Oryctolagus cuniculus: one gene and its partner. The protein of the gene in region 2 purifies or fractionates together with the protein of the main gene of each other region. This does not show direct contact. Links are inferred from orthologs where the notes say so. Each region holds a gene or a part of one and is shown on either strand. Other genes may lie near its edges.

Evidence for each region. Proteins that work in one complex are often made in the same cells at the same time.
Region 1: the proteins of POLR2B (region 2) and POLR2M purify together in Homo sapiens (affinity purification with mass spectrometry; 3 studies listed by BioGRID and IntAct, counting the BioPlex papers as one, with this or other methods). This does not show direct contact. The link is inferred for Oryctolagus cuniculus from reciprocal best matches to the Homo sapiens genes POLR2B and POLR2M.

The regions. Positions count from the first base shown.
Region 1 is NC_091443.1:80,579,537-80,583,187, reverse strand, and holds the end of POLR2M (protein GRINL1A), read right to left. Parts: intron 1,363-3,651; coding exon 1,219-1,362; 3' UTR 186-1,218; downstream 1-185.
Region 2 is NC_091439.1:107,643,783-107,646,758, forward strand, and holds the end of POLR2B (DNA-directed RNA polymerase II subunit RPB2), read right to left. Parts: intron 1,308-2,976; coding exon 1,112-1,307; intron 840-1,111; coding exon 750-839; 3' UTR 614-749; downstream 1-613. Other genes in the region: IGFBP7 (insulin-like growth factor-binding protein 7), read left to right, coding at 455-474. UniProt on the Homo sapiens protein: Catalytic core component of RNA polymerase II (Pol II), a DNA-dependent RNA polymerase which synthesizes mRNA precursors and many functional non-coding RNAs using the four ribonucleoside triphosphates as substrates.

The sequences.
Region 1 (3,651 bases), on a different chromosome or scaffold from region 2:
ATTTTTTTCATCTGCTTTTCCAGGAGGAGAGGGGAGACAGAGAGCAGTTACCACAACTGGAAGCGTACGAAATAGAACTGAGCCCTTCCTATCAAACATATTTTCAGTCAAATCTCATACATGAACACTCTTTTGTAGTAGGAAGTTAAATTTAACTAAATACCAGTAAAATACAACCATGAGTGTTTAAGTTGCTCTAATATTTTATTTTTCCTTTCAACATTTTTTAAAAGCTTCAACATTTTAGACAATTTTTTTTGTAACATAAGTATTAATCTCTGGAGACAACCATAAAATCACTTAAAAGGACATGAACACGTGTGTGTGTGTGTGTGTGTGTGTGTGTATAAGACTGAGGTTTCTACAGCCTATGTATGTCTCTTTGAAGAAAAAAAATACACTGACAATTGTAACTTTTAAAAAACAATTATTGGTTTCCTTACCAAACATTAGTGTCCTACACAATGAACCCATCATGAGTGAGAGCAATGAACTCCAATCAGGTGAAACACAAAAGAGCTATTGCTCCCAGCAAGCACAGTCGGCTTGGACTTTTCCTGTATCTCATAGTACTCCAGGCAAACCTGGTCACCTATAAAGACCGTCCACCTTCCAGCATGTACTCAAAGTACTTATTCCTGATCAGAGGAAAGGTAACATTCTTCCTAAGGTGAGACGGAAGGAAACAAACATTTGTTAAGAATTTTCTGAGTATCTTCCTAGGTATTTCAAACCCAGTATCTCAGTAATTCCATGCAAACATGCATAATTCTCCAGACTTCATCCTTTCATTATTTAAAAAAGCAGGGAACTATGTCTTCCTAATTTACTTTAGCTGCCTGGGACAACTAAGTGTTTCACTGAAAGACATGTAATAAATCCTATTTGATTGAGTTATTAAAAAATAAAATTATCTTTCATTTGGCTTAAAGGAAAAAAAATGTGTTTTATCATACACTCAAATATCAGACCAATGCACAACATACTGCAAAACTTTAATACAATGTGGTTACATACTGTTTTCAAATATTAAACTTCAAGCACATGAAAGTCATCTGAAAGACAAACTGGGCTTTTGTTCACAGTTGCCGTTGTGTAACTTCACAAAATTCTTTCCCTCAACAAGGTCTGACACTGATCTTGATGCTTACAAAGTAGGATGTGAGATAATGACATTTCAACAGCCTGAGGTTTAGGAGATGATCCCAATGCCCATCTTCAGCATTCATCATCGGAGGACTGATCATCTTCATCCCTTACTTCCCGGTATTGCCTGGAAGACTCCCCTTCTGGATTGTAACTCTGCATTTTAATATTCAGTTTTTCAGCTAATTTTTGTGCTGCGAGCTTTGCTTGCATCTCCTTTAAAACAAAGGGGAAAGGAAAAAGTTACACATTCACACTTTTCCTTACAATTTTTCAATGGTAAGTTCTTCAAACAGACTCAGAAAAAAAGAGGCGGTAACACCCCACTTGGAGGTCTCTGCAGCAATGGCAGGAGCCCGATGGCTGCACCCCACCACAGATACAAAGGGCAATGCTTCTGAGACCTATCAGCCTGCTGGCTGTCGTAACCGATGTCCACTACCGAACAACAATGCACTGAAATATCCTACCTCTTTACAAATTAACTTTACAACAGTTACAAATATGGGTACATTAAGTCTGTGGGCACATGCATGTATACATACAAAACAATGAGACTTATCTAATGTCAAAAATCTCCAATGCTGTACTGAATTCCCTGACAGAGCCTTCCTCCCTAGATTAAATCTTAGCTTCTAGGCCTGAGAGTTATACTTCAATAGCACAATGAAAATCAAGAAATTAATGCTTGAAAAATGACTACCTCTATCCAAGAAAAGTCCTACAGAGGGGCCAGCGCCATGGCGCAATACGTTAATCCTCCACCTGCAGCACCAGCATCCCACATGGGCACTGGTTCTAGTTCCGGCTGCTCCTCTTCCAATCCAGCTCTCTGCTATGGCCTGGGAAAGATGATGGCCCAGGTTCTTGGGCCCCGGTACCCTGTGGGAGACCCTGAAGAAGCTCCTGGCTCCTGGCTTCTGATCGGAGCAGCTCTGGCCATTGCAGCCATTTGGGGAGTGAACCAGCAGGTGGAAGACCCTTCTTTCTGTCTCTTCCTATCACTGTCTGTAATTCTACCTCTCAAATAAATAAATAAAATCTTTAAAAAAAAAAAAAAAAAAGTCCTACAGAAACAAGTATCCAACAAAAGCCCAAATAAATTTTAGACACTGGTGATGTGCTTACTGCACACACGCAAGGGCTTCACCACCAACTGCTGGCAGGTGGCAATGCTCATTCCTGGCTTTGCTCCTCCCTTTTCTCATGCTTCCTTCTTCCTTTATCACTTCAACTTCTTTATTGTCTTCCCCTCAGGCCAGGAATATTAAGAGTAAGTATAGTGGGAGCAACTACAATGTCTCTTGCAAGGAAGCTAATTTCAAGCTGCAGGGTTTAATTTAACCTAAAAACATCTTAGGATGGCATTTATGATTCCACAGACAATTTAAAAACATTTCCTTGATGTTGCAGTCCTAAGTAGGTGACACTTCTAATGCACCAAAAGGGAAAACAAGTGACTACTAAAAAGGAGTGCTGGAGCTGGCGCTGTGGCACTGCAGGTAAAGCTGCCATCTGCAGTGCTGGCATCCCATATGGGCACTGGTTCAAATCTTGACTGCTCCACTTCCAATCCAGCCCCTGCTAATGTGCCTGGGAAAGGAGTAAAAGATGGCCCAAGTACTTGGGCTCCTGCACCCACATGAGAGACCCGGAAGAAATTCCTGGCTCCTGATCAGTTCAGCTCTGACCGTTGTGGCCATTTGGGAAGTGAACCAGCAGATCAAAGATCTCTCTCTCTCTCTGCCTTTCAAATAAATGAATAAATCTGAGGGGGAAGAAAAAAAAAAGAATGCTTCAAAAATACCAATCCAGGACAACTGAATTTTTAAGAAAAGTGAAGACAGGGGCCGGCGCTGTGGCATAGCAGGTTAAGCTGCCGCCTGCAATGTTACATCCCATATGGGCACCGGTTCTAGTCCCGGCTGCTCTGCTTCCTATCCAGCTCTCTGCTATGGCCTGGGAAAGCAGAAGATGGGACAAAACCTTGGGCCCCTGCACCTGTGTGGGACACCCTGAAGAAGCTCCTGGCTCCTGGCTTCAGATCGGCTCAGCTCTGGCCGTTGTGGCCATCTGGGGAGTGAACCAGCAGATGGAAAACCTCTCTCTCTGTAACTCTTTCAAATAAATAAAATAAATCTTTAAAAAAAAGAAAAAAAGGAAAAGTGAAGGGAGAGTAGAGCCTAGTTTTCTATTAGTTAGTGCACAGCACCTGATGGGGATGTAGCTAAGCAATATCTAGGAAGTAAGACAAGATACTTTCCCTGGAAGCTCAAATTATCACTAAGTATATCAATATTTTCTATTCCCTCTATAGTCTACACACATTTTCTCCCATCCCATTAATCTATACATATATTCTCAACATCCACTTAAAGTTCTATGTCAAACACATGGAGCAGTGGACAAAGTACTACCTAACACTAAGTCACTAAAAGCGGATGATGCTGTAAGCAGTGTGTCCCACCATCTGTTGGCAACCTGCTATCCTCCACTGCTCCTCGG
Region 2 (2,976 bases):
GTGCCCCAGATCCACAGATCTCAACTCCTCGAGCGCCTAGCCTGCCCCTGCAGGTTCTGGTATTTTAGGCCAGGGGTGGGGAACGTCCGGCCCACAGAATCATGGGGTCTGGGCCTGCCAAGGCAACCACAGGTGGGACTCTGAACCCACAAATGGTGTTAGATACCCAAATGGCCCAAATGCCCGCAGTGTGTGTGTGTGTGCGTGTGTGTGTGTGTGCGCGCTGTTCCTTGGCCGAGGGAGAGCCATGATGCGTCAGCTTTTCGGCAGTCAAGTGCAGGCAGAACAGAATTCCACTGCAGAAATAAGGCTCCCAGCCCCGCCCGCTTCAGGTGCACACTTGACACCTTCATTTGGATAGGCCAGCACTACAGGCGCTGACAGGTCAGCCTCGTGCCAGGAAGTCAGGCCCTGATGTCTGAACTGACTGTTTCCGTTTTCTTCCTGTGCCCAGGGGAAGGTGCTGAGCTGTAACCGCAGCACTGCAGGTCGGCAAGCTGCAAGCAGTCACGGGAACTGCGGCTCCTGCTCTCGGCTAACACGCGGCCCTAGCTAACGCTTTACTTAGCCACTGGTTTCACACAACAGTGCCAGCATAAGGATGACACATCGAGACTATCTACAAAACTTTATTTACAGAAAAACATGCGTATCATTAAACAAAACAAATAAAATGCTTTTCACTGCAACACAGTACAATTTGTCGTTTTTTAAAGCCGAATCAGAAGTATCTGTTGGGAGGCCAGGAGCTACACGCTCATCATTCGAGGCGCAATGCTCATGGACATCAGTTCCTGAAACAACAGTTTGCACGCGTACGGCATCCGCACCAAAGAAATCTGAAAGGGGAGAGCAGGGCGTAGTGAGCAGAGCTGGGGGGGCACGGGACGCAGCCCACGGCCCTGCCCCGGAAAGAGCTGGTCCTCCGAGGAGGCGTCCCCAGCGGCCGGGGGCTCACATCCGGCCCCTGCCTTACACTGCTGCCCCTCCCCCACTGTTACGTACAGAAGACGAACAGCTGCCACGCAGACCACACCCAAACTTGCTTTCAGACAAATCCGCCACACCGCGTCAGCCTGAATGACCCCACCTCCTGGATCCACACACTCACCTGGGTCTTATTGCGGCAGCCCCTGCACTCGTACGTGTGGGTCCTGGTGTTGGCAATGGCCATGATTCCACACAGATTGCAAACATGAACCTGATAGGGATCAGATGCCTCAAACAGCCTTTCTCTTAGGAACTGGGCTGCTCCATGGGCAATCTGACAGTCTCGTTCCATTTCTCCAAAACGCAGGCCACCATCACTGTCAAGAAAGTAACAGGTTTTGCACTTACTTATGACAAACACCCCTTGACTAATGGCAAAGAAAAGGAAAACGAGGCTCTCATTTTTCTGTCCTCACATTCTCTACCTGGTGTGGAGGGGAGAAGGCTACTGACTACGTGCTGTGCATTACAAGGTCCCCAAAAGAGGAGGTGCACTGGATTCTCAATATAGCATGATTTTCCTCGTAACATACAACAAAGTGTGGAGTACCGGCTTTTCTTGCTATCATTTAACGTGTCTGCAAGACTGATTTACTTATTTGAAAGGCAGAATTGCAGGGACGGGATGGGGTGCGCACACTTCCTCCACTGGTTCACAAAAGGCCACAACAGCTGTGAGCAGGCCAGTCCAGGCTGAAGCCAGGCATCCGGAACTCCATCCAGGTCTCCCATGTGGGTGGAAGGAGCCCCAGCACTGGGCCGCCATCTGCTGCTTTCCCAGGTGCATTAGCAGGGAGCTGGACTGGACATGGAGCAGCCAGGACCGGAACCAGGGCCCATATGGGATGCTGGCCCCTCACTTAACCTCCTACAATCCCACTCTTAAAAGCTGAAACTAAAAGCCGATCTAGATCAACATTTACAGGTTTCCTGGAAGTGACAGGCATTGCTCAAATGGCCAGGCAAGCAGATGGTGATGACTTACTTAACATTCGTAATACACAAAATTAGTAAAACCGGCTGGTTGTAGTATCCCAAAACAAAACCAAGCCAACTCTGGGGGCTGTTGGGCGGCCAGCTCATTATTTTGAAAAGTGGTACAGAAGTGATTCAAATTGTGGGGCCCTCGGTATAATCAAGGCAGCAGAGCCAGACCTGACCAGCAGTCAGCCACTCCAATGAGGGGGAGGCAGTTTTACTAATGCCCTCCAGGAAGCTGTACAAACGGTCAGCCTTATTAAACCCTGATCCCCTGCAGCTCAAGTGACAGTGGCTAAGTGGAATCAACCCAACTGTCCATCAACTGAAGAATGGAAAGAAACTACGGGATACATACACCATGGAACACTACACCATGGTTAAGAAATCATATCATTTGCAACAAAATAGATGCAACTGGAAAACATCATACTTAGTGAAATAAGCCCGTCCCAAAAGGACAAATACCATATGTTCTCCCTGACCTGTGGTAACTAACAGAGCACCAAAAGGCAATCTAGAGGTGAAATCGACACTTCGAGATGTGATGACTTTGAACAGTCCTGTTTCCACTATTGGTTTAACTCTTTACTTAGTATAATCTTATGTGTATAAAGTTACCTGAAAATAATCTTCATAAAAAATAAGAATGGGAATAGGAGAGGGAGGAGGGAGAAGGGCAGGTAGGGTGGGAGGAGTCACTATGTTCCTGAAGTTCTATCTGTGAAATGCATGAAGTCCGTATACCCTGAATAAAAGGTTTCTGGGGAAAAAACAAAAAACACTAACCCCTGAGGACACGCCTTTTTCATGCTTGAACAAAGGCACTATGAGGTTCTGAACTCTGCATTTACAACTGAGAGCGTTCTCACCTGAGAATCGCCTGACACCAACCATGCAACCTCACCCACGCTGGCACAAACAGCGTTAACTCCCACTTAGGCATTGGCAGACGAGAAAATCAACAAAGCCTTTCACTACAAGGAGAGCAAATTCAAGTATCTGTTC